Regions from separate parts of the Mus musculus genome. Here regions 1, 2 and 3 are each reported to be linked to region 4. Evidence: microRNA targets listed by miRTarBase, many of them from high-throughput screens and not tested one by one. Region 4 holds a microRNA gene; each other region holds the end of a gene's coding sequence. Distances are from middle to middle.

Region 1 (4,065 bases), not on the chromosome of region 4:
TCCAGGCCTCGGAGCAGCAGCAGGACAAACCAGGCATCTTTCCAAACTGGGTGCAGGAAGAGATGGCCATCTGGCCTCCATGCCACTCCACCCAGGCCTCTGTTGAGTGCTGTCAGTCACCCCTGCAGTCACAGGCCTTCTCCTCTGCTTTTACTTCACAGGCCTCTTCAGAGATGCCAGGGTGCACCGGTGGAACGACCCCAGATGACTTCATTCTGGTTTCCAAAGAAGATGAGGGGCACCGTGCCAGGGGGGCCTTCTCAGGCCAGGCCCAGCCTCTTCTCACCCTCAGAAGCACATCTGGGAAAAGCCGAGCCCCAGCCTGCTCCCCACTGCTGTTCTCAGACCCACTGATGGGCCCAGCCTCAGCCTCAGCCTCCTCCAGCAACCCCAGCTCCAGCCCCGATGATGACAGCAGCAAGGAGTCTGGCTTCACCATTGTGAGCCCCTTGGACATCTGAGCACAGGGCCCCACTGGCGGACACCCTGCTGAACCAGTGTCTTTTTCCCAGCATGCATTTGGCATTGGTTCAACCCACTGGAACTCTTTACAAAAAGAGGCAACTATGCTTCTTTCAATGCACTATGTTTACCAAAATGCAGATAGAGGTTTCCAGACCCTTACCTGACCCTGTGACCCTTGTTCCAATTAGGGCCAGGTCAGGTCCCCAGCTCCATACCCACTGTCAGACACAGCAGACCACATCAGAGCCACATGTCTTCCGTCCCCTCCTCCCCAGCAGCTCTGCCAGTTTACACTCAGAAGGAAAAGTTGGTTTCACAACTTCCCCTTATCAAAGCTTCAGCCACAGGGAACTTGTTGATACTGAGTGAATCTGGCAGGCAGTCTCACTCCTGCCTTGGAAGCCCAACATGCCACACAGAGGGAGCAGAGCGGGTGGCTCCCAGGGCTGGAGTCAGAGTGAATTGTAGGAGCAGGGTTTCAGATTAGGAATCAGATTCTTGTTTGACACAAATACAGTTCTGGACCCTGGGCTTCCTAAGCTTCAGCCACCGCTGTTCCTCCTTGAACAACTGGATTTCTCCTTCCAGAGTCCCCACAGCCGGGAGTGCAGTGGCTCCACGCCAGTCTGCTCTGAGATGGTTTTAAGAGTCACAGGGCTAACATCCTTGAATTGGAGAAATGTGTCCAGAGCTCTCCGGTCAGGTCTCTGAGCATGTTTAGAGCTACAGTGGCCTGTTAAATGAGGAGCACAGAGGAAAACCACATTCGCACAACCCGGAGTCAGACCTCCTGGGAATTAGACCTGGAGTTCCTTCTGTGGGAGCAGGTTTCCTGTAGAGCGTTCCAGGTACCACAAGATACAGGGCTCCTATTCAACCCCCAACACCCTATTCTTGGAGCTCAGCTGTAAACTCTGCATCCAGACACTCCAAGGATGGGCCTGCCTGCCTCGGGGCCCCTGCCTGGGCTGGGTATACATGAGACATCTCCCCGTCTATTGGCCGAGTACAGAGCTGTATTGGGCACAAAGCTAGGGACAGTGGAAATGGTGGATAGATGTAGCATCTGTTAGATGTCACCTCTGCCTTCTGTCCTCCTCAGAGAGCAGCTGGGCCTCTGGGCAGTGCCCCACCCACTAATAGCATTGTAATTCTCTACAGACAGGAATGCTAATGTCAGGATGCTCTGCAGGCTTCTTAGCTGTACTGCATAGCAGGGCTGGTGGCTCACTCACATGGTGGCGGGGCTCAGTCATGGCCTCATGAATTCTACCCCCTGCCTCTGACCAGTCTTCTCAGCATTCTGAGGAGCCTGCTTGCATACATGTCCCATGAAGCTGCTCTGTAAGAATCAGGGCCACCATCCATCCCTGCTAGAAGGCTTCCAGCAAGCATTCCACTTAAAGCCTTGACATAACCGTGTCAGTACCTTAGATCTAGTGTGGGAAGTATTGACTGATCCATCCAGGTCTGGGACAGTGCCGGCCATGTCTGTCACTGCTGAGCCCTGTCCCCAGCATCTCCTTTGCGTTGAGAATAAGGTCAATAGATAACTATCACTGGCTACCCACCAGGCCAAGAAGATGATAGGCTGACCCATTACTGTTTGAATGGACATTTCATAACCCCTCGACCTACCTGCCCTGCCCATGCCCGTGATGTGCCCCGCTCCTGTGCTTGTGTGGGTGCCACATGAGAACCCCAGGTTCACACTGAGATGTTTCTATGGTCCCTAGGCAGGCCACTCTCTCCTTGGAAGAACCAAGGATGGAAAGCTCTTCTCTAAGTGACTCTATTCTTCGTTGGTGACCATTGCTTCCCTTGGTTACCTACACTGCTGGTTTGGGATGCATTCCGTCCCTGTTATTTTATCAGGTACTTCTGTCTAATTGTACATTTTAAAGTCCTGGATATATAGAACCTTTTTCTTTAACCACATGGTAATCATCAGTTTTAATCTCTCACATTTTGATTATAGCAGCTAATACAGTTTTATACAAGCCAAGCCTAGATTAAGCCCTACTGTCGTCTGCTTTTTTATACACATTTCTGTGTTTCATGCAGTCCTCTCTGATCAGATTGGAAGTGTGAAGTAAAACATACCTGTGTGCCACAGAGGGTCGGTTCAGTGCCTCGGTTCAGTTCTCGAGAACTTCCTGGCTTAGCTTGGCAAGATGACCTTCTGCTCTGCACTAACTGCAACTTGAAGTGACCACACTGCTGCTGAGTGTAACTCTGGAGGGCAGCTGCCTCCCCGGAGCCCAGTTCTCGTAGGGGTGAATCTCCTCCGCACGGGTTGGCTGTGCTGGACAACCTTGCCAGCCATGTCTTTAGTGTCAGAAAGGCTGGACAAATGCCAAAACTCTAGTATAACCTGCTGTTCAGTACAGGTTGCTTTTGCTTGCTAAAAGCTCTCCCAGTGGCCACTAAAGACAAAGCGGGGAGCACCTGTGGCCCTGCACCGGCCAGTGCCATCTCCCTTCCCCACCCTGGAACTGCTAGGAAATGAGAGCTGGGGAAGAGGCCATGTGCATGGAGAGCTGTGGCGGCAGGCTCTTCACAGATCACATGGCCTCCTCCATGCTAGGCCCAAAAGCTGCTTCTCTCTTGTTGAAAAGAGGTGTCGTTCCTATAACCAGGCTGGTGTGGAAGTTTTCCTTCGGTGCATGAGGCTCGGCTCATCTAGTTGATATCCCAGCAGTGCCAACAATGTCCTCACGAGCCTTGGTGCCGGAGCTCATACTGATGTAGGAAATGCCTCCTTGGCAGAGCGAGCCCACTTGATGTGTACTAATAAAGGACTACTGAGAACTGGGATCACATCCACTTCTTCCAGTCACATAGCTCTGGGGTCCGGAGAGCATGGAAGCGCCTGGCCAGCAGGGCTGGTGTTGGCCATGCCTCGCCCTCACTAGCATTTCCTTCCTTTACAGCATGGGCAACCTTCATAGTCTCCTGAGACTGCTTCCTAACCGCTAAGACACCAGTGCTTCTCACTTCTCACCCCTTGCTGTCCCAGGGAAGGTTATGGAATGATGCTCCATTTCAGGAGTAGTCATGGCTCTGGAGGAGCTGCTGAAGGAAGAAGCCTCCCTCCCCCACCCCCACCCCCACCCCCACCGCCCCCACCGCCACCCACAACAGTTCATGAGCAGTCACTTACCGTGTACCCAGCCCAGCCAGCCAGTGGACACAGCATGTCCCAGCAGCCACAAGCCGGCTGACCAATGCTACAGGAATTTCTTCCTACTTAGCTCTACCTAAGAGGATCTGGGGTCTGAACCTCTCACTTCTACCTCAGGAACATCCTAGGCCAGTGCTAGCCGTTCCCTGGGTTTCCTGTCAGATTGGGCTCCTGTCACAGGCTCCTCCCGTGTTGAGCCTCCTCTCCATCCTTCCTGCTTCTGGGCTAAAGGTTGAGCCTGGCTTGAAGGGTGAGTCCTTCAGGCAAGGCAGGGCTGCCCTAGTTCAAAACACAAGAGCAATTACACAGGGCTCATCCATACCCAGGACAGCCCCTCTACATGGGAGGTTTTAACCGAGGCCTATCCAGTTGCCAGCTGGCCTCTGTGGCTGACGCCATGTTGGAGTGGCTTCTGT
Region 2 (4,065 bases), not on the chromosome of region 4:
TCCATCTGGAGGTCTGTGTTCAGAAGTGATGTGCCTCACTGCTGATGCTGGTCTTCATAACCTAAGAGACACCAAGTAGATGCTTTCTGGGACTCTCCTGGCCTGGCCTCCACACAGGACAGCATGAGGCGGTAGGCGTGTAGGCTGGCAGATCTGTGACCTCTCCTTTTCTTCTTTACAGCAACGCGGAGTCCTCAGAGAGGAGGTTCCGCATGAACAGCTTTGTGTCAGACTTCGGGAAGCCGCTGGAGTCAGACAAGGTGTTTTCTCGTCAGGGCAACGAGGAGTCCAGGTCTCTGTTCCACTGTTACATCAATGAAGTAGAACACTTGGACAGGGTTAAAGTTTGCCACCAAACAACAGCCATCGACAGTGATGTCCACCTCCAGGAAGCCAGCAGAAGCAGTGGGAGGCCTGAGGAGGAGCTAGCCAGGTTCATGAAGTTTGACATCCCCAACTTTGTGAACACAGAGCAGAGCTCCTTTGGGGAGGATGATCTCCTGATTTCGGAAGCACCCGTTCTTCTAGAAAACAAGCCAGTTTCCCAGACATCACGCATAGACCTGGACTGAGAGACACTTGTGCCTTACTGAGGATGTGTTCTGTCTCTGTACAGCAAGAAACCGCAAGCTACCCACACTCGTGTGTGTGTGTGTGTGTGTGTGTGTGTGTGTGTGTGTAGAGAGAGAGAGAGAGAGAGAGAGAGAGAGAGAGAGAGAGAGGAGGTGAGGGAGGGGGAGAGGACTAGGCTAGGACTGGGATGTGATAGAGGGGCAGAATTTGGAGATGGAAGGCACCATTTTGGTTTGGGGGAGATGATATTTTTCTTTTTTGGATTAAAAAAATGCATTGACAGTATTAAGGCTTCTTTATTGAAACAATTAGCCACATATATGCAATTGAGCCCCCTCCTGGGTGAGGGTTAGGTTACTGCAGTCTGATCTAGCCCTTTCCCACCATTCTCTGCCTGTAACAAGTTGCTTTACCTCTCTGGACTGCCATGGTTTTACATGTAAGGTGGCCTGTCTGGAGTAGATGACCTATCCCAGCTCTAGAATTTTTGTGGCTTTCAGACTTAGCGTTTAAGACATGCTAAGAAACACATAAACAGTAGATAATAGAACATGGCACCCTGGCTTTCAGGGCAGGTTCTCCAGGGCTTGGTACCCTCCCTTTGCTCAGCCCTTCACAGAGTCTCACTTTAGCTAGGGAAACCTTTACCAGGAGCACAGGAGCCTCACATGCACTGTGGACAGTGTCTCTGCGAGTTTTGCCGCAGCAGTTTATGTGATGAACTCCACCCACCCCGGCTTTAAACTGGGGCAGCTTTGACTCCAGTGAGTACCAGCCTAAACTGTTTCACAAGCATCCGTGCTCTCAAAAACTGCTAGGGCAGATTGTCATCTGCCTGATGTGGGTCCCTTCTCGGTGTCTCCGAGTTTGCATCCTGTGCTCGCGCTTCTGAACTCTTTGGCTTCAGAACAAGACGCTCCTTGCCATGGTCTGCGTGGCAGATGTGTGGGTGTCGGCTGCCTGGCTTGGAGCTGAGAGGGTCAGTGGGTTGTTTGTGCCACAGTAGCAGATGTTCAGGATTGCGATGATAATTTGAGCAACATGATGTTCATTTCGTGGAGGAAGCAACCCTTTGCTGGTGTCGGAAAGAACTCAGCCTTGCACACAGAGAGTTGTATGCATGAGCAGCTGCTAATCGATGGGTGGCATCTACTTTACGAATTTGTTCACCCTTTGTCTTGCTTAAGTTGCATAATAAATGCATTTGATCGCACAGGAATTTTCTCTGCTTTGATTTTCACACAGGCAAGTTTCCATTCCTCTAAAAAGCTATCCTATGCTGTGCCTAAATATCTCCCTGATTTCTGAGAGAGTGTGTGTGCTGACGGCGTCTCAGAGCCACACAGGCGATTCGTTTGGGAACAAGTCCACCCAAGGAAATCCCTTTCCCATAATGTCTTCAAAAGGAAGTATGATTCTTTAAGAGAGTAACATGAAGTAGTAGAGCAGAACATGAACTAGTTACTATAGTATCATTAAAGCCACTTTGAGTTCTTACAGATAGAGACATGCTTCCTTCATGTATATTTTTACCCAATGCAACAATATTGATCTTACTAATCTGCCCGAGTATTAGCGTAATTCTTTCAACTATATATAAATACACATCGTGAACTACTTCTTAATTATTCATGAAAACTATTCAAGAGACACCATATTGTGAAGTTAATTAGCTAGAAGAAGACCTGGAGTCCTAAACAGAAGAAAGTCCCTGAGTTATCACAATTTTAAGTACTGAATGTTAAGGATCATGAAAAACCGAATACTTTACAACCTCTTACAAGTGAAGAGGCTAGGCTCTCTCAGTCCCCTAAATGCTTCCAGCAGACACAAGATTTCTGAGCAAGACCAAGAACTTCTGTTCAGCCAGTCCAGCAGGCTACAGGTGCATCACAGGGATGTTGGTTCTGAGTTAATTTTCCATTGCTGTTAATTTTTCATGCTGTTATATGTCTTTAAACAACATGAACTTCTTATCATCCTAGTACACAAGTCTAAAACCATTCCCAGATAGCTAAAAACAAAGTATTAACTTGGCTGTGTTCCATCTAGAAAAGTTCTGGTTTGGATGTGCCATATCCTCCCAGGGCTCCTGGGTTGGGGACTTGGTCCCCAGCATAGCAAAGACCATAGGTGGCAAGAATCCCAGAAGAATCTAATCCATGATTGGATCTAAAGGGCTCTGAGCTCATTATGGATTAGTTAATGGGTTCCTAGTTTAATGGACTAACAGAAGTGACAGAAACATAGAGGCAGAGAACCTAGTTGTTGGCATGCTTTGGGAAGCTGGGTCTCGTTGCTGACCCTTCTGTGCCCTGGTCACCATGAGGTGAGCAGTCTCCTTCTCTATACACTCTTGCAGTCATGCTGTACTTCCACTGGCCCAGAAAGGATGCACCAAATGACCATGGATTTGAGGTCTCTGAAACCATGAGCCCAAATACACTTTTCATTAATTTCTTTCAGAGAAAGCTAACATAGGAGGCTCTGGAAAAATCTATTTTCTTGCCTTCATCAGTTTCTACAGGTGGCTCAATCTGTGGATCGTGACCTCATGTCACTGTGAGCTCTTCTTTTGCTTTCTGCCTCTGACGGCCCTGTGTCCTCCTTGCCAAGACTCTGGTGGTTACATTGGATTACCGAGGATAACTCATGTCAGGTCTCTTCCTGATCTCATCTGCCAAAGTCCCCTTTGTCATGAAAGGTAACACAGAACTAGTTTCCAGAGACAAGATATGGACATATTGAGAGCCAGCAGCCTTTCTTCCCTGTCTTCCTTGGCCTAGCTCATCCTCCATGTAAAATAAAGTTATTTCAAAATGCTAGCGTTGCAATCCATTACAGTATCAACTCCAAGCTGCATATTGTCATTATTTTAGCCATCTAAGCCAGATGTTAGTGAGTCTTGGGGAAAGTCATCTCCATCTACAGACCTATAGAACTAGAAGACATTTTTTTTGGTCCCTTGATATTACAAGTCTAAGATACAGAATATAAAATTTCTGTTCATGGGTCACAAGGGACCAAAAAATTTCTAAACCCCAAGGGTGGCAATTCCACTAGGCTTCAAGGCTGTAGCTTGTGGTGATATTCCCTCCTCACCTAAGAATTAACCTAGCCTGATGCCAAGCTTCCAAGGTCAGACAAAACTGGGCACATTCATGGTAGCACAGCAGTGGACTCTATATTCTAAGCCTAGTACTCTACTTTTGGATTGGTCCTTTGTCGTTCAGTGGGTGAATGTGGCATTAGCTGAGTATTTACCAGTCTGTTTCTCCATGAAGAATTACCTTGTCTCTTTTCCACTTTGGCTTATTCAAGACAGCTAATTCCCTGTAGAGAGAATAGCTTGTGTATCGTATGGATGCATCACCTGTCAATTAAAAAACTGATGGCCTATGGTTCAGACAGGGAATGGAAGGTGGGACATCTGGGAGGAAAATGAATTCTGGCTTAGAGCCATGCACGGGAAGATCTGTTGGAGAAGTGAGG
Region 3 (4,065 bases), 32 Mb from region 4:
CTTTAAGTAAGACTTACCTGTATATGAAATATACAGTGGCTTACGCCTATAATCTCAACATTCAAAATGGTGAGGCAGAAGGATTGCCACAAATTTGAGGTTGGCCTGACTACACCAACAGCGTATCTCAAAAAACCTGGGGGAAAGGTCAGATTTAGATGAGAACCTAGGGTTTTTGACTCAGACCAGTATTTTTTCCTCTCTAATAAGGTGAACTAGTAGAGAAGATTCTTTAAAACTTAAATTTAAGCCTCAGTTATGAGGCTGTCTATCTAAGCTGTGTTTCTAGAATCTAAAGCAAATGTTAAGCAAGTGTTCTTCCTTGGGGGAGGGCGGTGCTGCAGACCAAATCCAGGCACTTCCTATTGAGCTGCTCGGCCAAACTTACACTTCAATCTAAGAAATGTTTGTGCAGAATTGCTAAGGTATTTTTATTTTCACTGGACAGTTGATGGCATTTATTGAAAGAATAATATTGTTAATAAACACATTATTTATTTATTTATTTAAAGATATTGAAACCATCTGAAAAGAAAGCTAAGTACCAGTATGGTGGGCTGAATTCTGGACGTCCTGTCACTCCGCCTCGAACAGCTAATCCACCGAAGAAAAGGTGAAGACAGGAATTCTAGAAAGAGAAACCATCAGATTTGTTAAGGACATACTTCATAATATATAAGTGTGCACTGTAAAACCATCCAGCCATTCGACACCCTTTATGATGTCACACCTTTAACTTAAGGAGACGGTAAAGGATCTTAAATTTTTTTCTAATAGAAAGATGTGCTACACTGTATTGTAATAAGTATACTCTGTTATAATATTCAACAAAATTAAATCCAAATTCAAAAGTATCCATTAAAGTTCTATCTTCTCATATCACAGTTTTTAAAGTTGAAAAGCATCCCAGTTAAACTAGCCCTGTTAGTGACCCAGATGAAAGCATGAAGATCCATCTGTGTAATGTGGTTTTAGTGGTGCTTGGTTGTTTCATTATTTTGAGCTTGTTTTGTTTTGTTTGTTTTTGCTAGAATAATGGCATCTACTTTTCCTATTTTTCCCTAAACATTTTTAAAAGTGAAAATGGGAAGAGCTTTAAAGACATTCACCAACTATTCTTTTCCTTTACTTATCTACTTAAGTAACTGTTGGATCTTACTAAGAAAACTTACCCCTCATTACAGTAAAAAGGAACTTTAGAGGTCGATAGGTTTTAAAAATATACAAACTATCTGATCCATTGATTTTAATCAAACAGTTTGACTGGGCAAACTTTGCAGCTGATAATGAGTATTTCGCTTTTTACAAAATTGCCACTGATTTGGATTTGTGCACTCTAATCTTTAATTTATTGATGCTCTATTGTGCAGTAGCATTTCATTTAAGATAAGGCTCATATAGTAATATCCAAAACTAGTTGGTAATGTGATTATGTGGTACTTTGGCTTTGGGTTCTAATTCGCACGAAACACCTTTTGGCATGCTTAACTTTCTGGTATTACCCTCACCTGCATTGGTTTTGTTTTTTGGGGTTTTTGTTGTTTGTTTGTTTTTAGATTCACAGAACATGAGAATCCTTTTTGACAAGCCTTGGATAGCTGGCTCTCTTCTTTCCCTCTCTCTATGTGAAGGATGTATTTAAATGAACGCTGGTCAGTGGGACATTTGTCAGCTCTGAATATTGGGTGCTTCACTAATAATTGCCATGTGAATGTTGTTTTGACTGTAAGGCTATGTCACTAAAGATTTTTACTCTGCGTTTTCATAATCAAAGGTCATGATGTGTATAGACATGCTTTGTAGTGAAGTATAGTAGCAATAATTTCTGTATGTGATCAAGAGTTTATTGCATTATTTCTTTCCCTGTTCTCTTTTTTTTTTTTTTAAGGGTTAGCATTAACAAATGTCAAGGAGTAGCAAAGTCAACAAAGATTTTAGAAGGAGGAGGAACTAAGAGCATACACAGACTTATGATTCTTTGGATGTGACACTTATTGGATGTGATTCTAAAGTCTTTTATTGAACATTGTCAAATTCGTACGCTTCATAGGATGGACATAATGTTTATATAATGCCCTTCTTATGTGTTACCATAGATGTGTGAAACCTTATAGCGTCCTTGAAAGTGTTAAATTGAGAACTCTGTTAACATTTTATGGATTGACACATTATATTACTGCAAGTAACATTTGATTTTCAGCACAGTGCAAAAGTTCTTTAAAATGCATATGTCTTTTTTTTTCTAATTCCATTTTGTTTAAAGCACATTTTAAATGTAGTTTTCTCATTTAGTAAAAGTTGTCTAATTGATACAACGTCTGAGTGATTATTCTGTGTTGTTTTGTTTTACAGTGAGATATGTAAGCACAAGTTGACATAGACTGAAGCATAGACAGTCTCTGAGCTGTAGCCATGTTCTATTAGGTCACACATGCTTTTATTTAATGCGATTGGATAACTTACATACTAGAGTAAACGAACAATTGTTTACTCAAACAATTGCTAATAGGATTTTAGATGTTATCTCTGAGTAATCAATACTTAAGGTAGCTCAAGAAAATAAGCCTTAGTCTCAATATTAGTTAATGTACACTAATTTGTATCTTAAACTGTTTTGTTTTTTGTAAATGTTCATTCAAATTAAAACTAGGGGCGAAAAGTAAGCAAATTAGTATTGGTTGTTAAAGGATAGACATTTACCATGTTGGAAAATTATTCAGACCTCTTAAAACTACTTTACAGCTTCTCATATATAAGTACTCAGTACATCATGTGCTCCTAAGAATGATAACACAGATTATTAATTATACTAGTTTACTGACAAAGTCACAAAGACAAACAGTAAAATACAGGCTACCTTTAACCCCATGATTGGTGAGGCAGACAGAGACAGGTGAATCTATGACTTGAAGCCTAGACTACATGTTACAGTGTCTGTTTACTAGATGAAAAGCTACAAGCAATTGCAGAGAATTTGGGTTCAATTCTTTTTTTTTTTTTTTACACGTATTTTCCTCAAATTACATTTCCAATGCTATCTCAAAAGTCCCCCACACCCTGGGTTCTATTCTTAACACTCAGAAGGCTGTCTGTATGGCTAAGCCAAGGGGATCTGCTGTTTTATGCCCTCTGAGGGCACCAGGCACACACATGGCACACATGGTGGGTACATAGACATACATATAGGCAAAATCCTCATACACATAAAAATAAAATGTTTAAAGGATTTTTTTATTAAGTGTTGAGCAAATAAAATGAGTTTTTTGATTGGAGCAGTTGTCACTGTTTTTGTCGTTGTTTTTTTGTTTGTTTAGAGACAGAGTCAAGTCCAGGTTGGCTTCCAGCTCTAGTCTCCTGCCTTAGCTCCATGAGTGCTGACACTATAGGTGGGATCCATGCTGGGTTAAAACAGCCAAGTCTAGGTTGGCTTCCAGCTCTAGTCTCCTGCCTTAGCTCTGTGAGTGCTGACACTGTAGGTGGGATCCATGCTGGGTTAGAACAGCCGTGTTAGTTTATAACCCTCTATAACTGGTAGCTTCTAAAAATGCCTTAGAAACTATCTGTGGCAGAACTCATGAACCTGTTTAGCATAACAAATTAAGCTACTTGCTGCTTCAGAAAGTTGTGTTTTGTTTTTTGTCTTTTAAGATTTACTCATTTATATAATGTATATGAGTGCTTTTGCCTGTGTGTATGTGTGTGCACCACATGGGTGCCTGGTGGGTGTGTTGAATCTTCTAGAATTGGATGTATGGATGTTGTGAGTCATCATGGGTGTTAGGAATGCAGCCTGGATCCTGTGCAAGAGCAACAAGTGCTCTTAACTCCAGCCCCTGCTTAAAAACAATCTTACTGTGAGCTGTAGTGACACACACCTATAATCTTAGCAGTTGGAGGCAGGATGATCAGGAATTCTAAGGCCAGACTGAGCTACAAAAGACCCTGTCTTAACCACATATGGGAGTTGTGGGGGAGGCTAGTTTAAGTTTAAAATAGTTTAAGTGACTGACTATTTTAGTGTTCAACCCTAAACCCATCTAGAGCCCAACCCACACTCCAGTCTCA
Region 4 (4,066 bases):
AAACAAATAAACGAAGTAATGGAAGCAAATGCAAATACCTGAACTAGCTTAGAGATCCAAAACTATCAGTCTTGAATGGCCCCACTCAGAGCCCCTCCCACTCTGAACATTTTTTCTCATCTTCCTAAAAAGAAAAAAGAAAAGAGCAACAAACTAGCAGAAGTCAACTGTCTTAGGGTTTCACTGCTGTGAGCAGACACCATGACCGTGTCAACTCTTATAAGGACAACATTTAATTGGAACTGGCTTATAGGTTCAGAGGTTCAGTCCATCATCATCAAGGCGAGAGCATGGCAGCATCCAGGCAGGCATGGTGCAGGAGGAGCTGAGAGTTCTAAGTCTTCATCTGAAAGCTGCTAGCAGAGCAGTGCCTTTCAGGCAGTCCATAGGATGAGGGTCTTAAGTCCATGCCCACAGTGACACACCTACTCCAAGGCCACTCCCACTACAACAAGGCCACACCTCCTAATAGTGCCACTCCCTGGCTCAAGCATATAAGTTACACCAACAACTGACTACTTAAAATTAAGAACTCCAGGGTGGTGAAAAGTCCCCCCAAGCACACAAAGTTCTATTCTAACAGGTGTTTATTGTTTGCAACTGCACAGAAATGCACAAGCAACTCCTCAAAGGAAAGAAACACACACAAACGGAAGCTGCCTAAAAAGAGAGAGCAGCTTACAAAGAGAAAACCAGAAAGGGGGCGCGCATGAGAAATGGTGACCAGTCAAACCTTGGAGACGCATACCTTTAATCCTAGGCAGAGGCTGGCAGAGGTCTGAGTACAAGGCCAGCCTGGTCTACAGAGTGAGATCTAGGACAGCCAGGGCGACACGGAGAAACTACGTGGTGCAAACCCCATCCCATTCCGCCCCACCCTACCCTACCCCCTGCTGCCATCAGGGAGGGGAGGGGAGGGGAGGGGAGATTTTGTTTGCTTTGGACAAATACATTTTCCACGCCAAACGCAGATGTGCAATGCCCAGGCCAAAGAGAATGAATTTGGGCTTTGATCCACATTTCCAAGCTGGCCTTCTAGAAAGCATGGCTCCTTTGAGTCTTTTTACTTTTGTTTCTAATCACATCCCACTCCCATCGCTGACGTGGTCAGAGAATTCCACCTAATTTAGAACCGGGAAATCCCACGGTGAGGCTAGGGGACTCCTTACAACCTGCAGGGCTTCCCCAGTGCTTCGTAATGGAAGGCAGGGGACCCCGCGCTCTGCCCCGACCACCGATCTGGGACGGCGGAGTTCGGAGTTCGCAGCAGGTCAGGGTGCAGTGGGGCCGGGCAGAGGCAGAGGAGGGCGGCCCGGGGCGGGGCAGCTTGGCCGGTCCCTCCCCTGCGGCCGCGTCCCCGCCGGTCCTGCCGACGTGGCGGGGCGGGACCCGGGACTCCCGCGCGCACTCGGCCGGCCAAGCGGTAAGAGCCCGGGGCGCCCTCTCCCCATCCCCTTCCCGGGCGGGAGGGGACCAGCGCGCCGCGACCCTTGTCCGCTGTAGGGTGTGAGAAATCACCGGCGGGGAACCGTCCCGAGAAAGCAACTTGCTTGGGCACGAAGGTCGGGGGAGACGCGGCCGAGGGCCCTGCGTGGGTGCGGGCGTGTGAGTGTGTGTGTGTGAGTGTGTGTCGCTCCAAGTCCACGCTCATGCACACACCCACACGCCCGCACGCCCGGTCTGCACCCTCGTCCGGCCTGGAGCTCCGTGGAGTCCGCTGCCAGAGGCTAGGCACAAGCCAGTCTGGAAAGTTTCCCCAAGTGTCCCAAGTCTGGGGTGGGCTGTAGGGTCCTCCCAGCGCGACGCTCTGAGGGATCCAGTTCTTGCTAGTCAAAGACCTCCATTCCTAGGGTGAGCTTGTCCTCCCCCTGGGAAAACCGAGCACAGGCCTTGACCTCCATCCTGATCCATCATCTTTCCCTGGCATGCCCCACACCCAGCATGCCTGCGCTCCTGCCCCCCTGAAACACCTTAAGCTAGCACCGTTTGCATTCCCAGGACCCTCTTGGGCCCCCTCTTCCCCACCCCAAAGGCAGCCCCTTTACCCAGCCAGCTTGTCTTCTCCGAGGAATCTGGTGAGTATTTCCCAGCTGTCAGTCAGTCCCCACTTGGATTTCACTGGCTTTTCTTAAAGAAGGAGGACTTTCGGCAGACTATGGGAGCACTCTCTGGGCCATACCATCAGTGTCCACCCCTGAACCTCTTGATAGAAGCTGATGGCTTTTTAAATCAGCAGTCCTTGAACTCCTCCCTGGGACACCAGAACAAGAGAAACAAGGTCATTCCGAGAAGCCTCTCTTAGCTCACCTGGCTTCCTAGAGTTCTTTCCTCCCCAGCCCATATCCTAGACTCTCTCCTCCATTTCCTCTATCAATCCTGAAATGTTCTGATTAAACTTCTTACATTGAAAGCTGCCAGCGATGGAATGAAACTCCAAGGGTGGGATTTGAAGCACAAGTTAGCCAGTGTAGAAGGAATTTGGGGACGGGGGGTGGGGGGTGGGGGGCGGGGTGTTAGGGGGTGGGGGGCTTCCTGAATCTTGGGGATTCAGAAGTGTAAGTAGTTATTTCTTTCATCAGAGCAGGCTTATGTGAGACATCGTTTTTCGTTCAAATCAATATCAAACACAGTATATATCAGTTGAGTAAATATTTGTGGGTCAGAACGAAGCAAGGGCTCGTGGTTCACAGGCTTGAAGGGTGACATAGACGAGTCTTCCAAAGGCATTAGAGAAGTCTGTGGAAGTCTCAGAAGAAGAGAAACAGGAGCAGTTAAATTTTTAGGAGGATATGGAGTAGACAAAGATCAACTTCAAAGTTAAGGATGACACTAAGATGCTGGGTAGTCATGGAAACCGAAATTGGCCTGACCAGAAGACAAAGCATCAGTACAGGCAGCCAGCCTGGAGGTTTAGGAGCAGTGTGAAGAGAGAGGACCAGTGCTGAGGGGAACAAAAGTTTAAGTGCTGAGTTGCAAGAGATAGAGTTGTGTGGACTGTGAAGGGCCACACAAACACTCGTGTTAGTATTTGTTTGTTCGTGTGGGTGAGTGGGTGTTTTGCCTGCATATGTGTGTCTGTGGGCCATGTATATGCAGTGCCCACTGAGGCCAGAAGAGGCCATTGGATTCTCCCCTCTGCTACCCCCTGCCTCCCCCGACACCCGGAGGGGAGCTGGAGTTATAGAGGGTTGTGAGCTGCTATGTGGGTGCTGGAAACCCAACCCATGCAAGACCTCTGGAAGAGCAGCCTGTGCTCTTAACCACTGAGCCACCTCTCTAGCCCCCACTTAGTTTATAAACAGCGCAAATACAGTTGTCTTCTGTGATTCCAAAAATACCTGCCAGGTATAGAGGCAGGCCTGGAGTCAGAGTGTATGCACTGTGAGAACTGGACAGATCTGGGAGCCTCTCCTCTGTGAGTTTACTCTGAGTCACACTTTTGTAAAGTAAGAGAGACAATCTGGGACAAGTATCATGTAACCACATTTTTAAGTGAGGCCACTTAAAAAGGAAGCCATCTACTGTCACTACATTTTCGTGACATTTTAATACCAAGAAAAGCACCGGTGCTAAATGGCCCAATGAAGACAGAGCATTACTTCCAATAAATTTAGACTTAGGAAAATCTTGAAACCCTCTCTTCATTTTTCTCTGCAGTCAGGACTTGGGAACAAAGTTTCCAGATCAGGTTATCCATTCCAGCTTGACACACAGGAGGGAGCTGAAAGTCGGTGAGAACGAGTGAGTTGTTTGCCTACAAAGAGACACTGCAGTCAGACCCAGAGGCCACTGTTTGGGCTTTCCACTTCAGAATCCGACTCACTGTTCCTCCGTGCAGCCTCTGCTCTCAGACACACAGATGTGTATCATGGCCCTCTAGAGCTCATTTCTGATGTCTAGGTATTTGCACATACTCCCATCAGCCCGAATACTCATGCCAAAGGCATGGTCAAGATTCTCCCTTGCTCTAGTTCAGGGCGTTGTTTATTATGCTGTTTTGCATAGTTCTTTCTCTAGTTTTCTTTCTCTTTAATTTAATATTTTTTCAGTGCTAGGAATCAGATCC

The links. The annotated mature microRNA mmu-miR-574-5p reads UGAGUGUGUGUGUGUGAGUGUGU and lies in region 4 at 1,607-1,629, shown strand. An mRNA with a match to its seed (bases 2 to 7 or 8) in the 3' UTR can be bound and repressed. Matches are read on the target gene's strand: a 7mer-m8 pairs with bases 2 to 8, a 7mer-A1 pairs with bases 2 to 7 and ends in A, and an 8mer does both.
Region 1: miRTarBase lists Tbc1d5 as a target of mmu-miR-574-5p. Seed matches in the 3' UTR shown: 7mer-A1 at 756-762.
Region 2: the mRNA of Mrap2 is a reported target of mmu-miR-574-5p. Seed matches in the 3' UTR shown: 7mer-m8 at 636-642.
Region 3: the mRNA of Ppp1cb is a reported target of mmu-miR-574-5p. Seed matches in the 3' UTR shown: 7mer-A1 at 3,074-3,080.

Annotation. Positions count from the first base shown.
Region 1 is chr17:50,732,341-50,736,405 of GRCm38, reverse strand. It overlaps Tbc1d5 (TBC1 domain family, member 5), which reads left to right. Exons shown (of 22, transcript NM_028162.4): 22 at 162-3,279. The coding sequence ends at 461. Among named protein-coding and RNA genes, the nearest start is that of Gm41598, 56 kb to the left of the region's middle.
Region 2 is chr9:87,182,260-87,186,324 of GRCm38, forward strand. Mrap2 (melanocortin 2 receptor accessory protein 2) reads left to right here. Exons shown (of 5, transcript NM_001177731.1): 5 at 182-1,786. The coding sequence ends at 572. Among named protein-coding and RNA genes, the nearest start is that of Mrap2, 40 kb to the left of the region's middle.
Region 3 is chr5:32,490,442-32,494,506 of GRCm38, forward strand. Ppp1cb (protein phosphatase 1 catalytic subunit beta) reads left to right here. Exons shown (of 8, transcript NM_172707.3): 8 at 513-3,271. The coding sequence ends at 617. Among named protein-coding and RNA genes, the nearest start is that of Ppp1cb, 34 kb to the left of the region's middle.
Region 4 is chr5:64,968,722-64,972,787 of GRCm38, forward strand. Mir574 (microRNA 574) reads left to right here and starts at 1,597; the gene lies at 1,597-1,674. Fam114a1 (family with sequence similarity 114, member A1) reads left to right here and starts at 1,354. Exons shown (of 14, transcript NM_026667.3): 1 at 1,354-1,423. It also overlaps a transcript of Tlr6 not described here.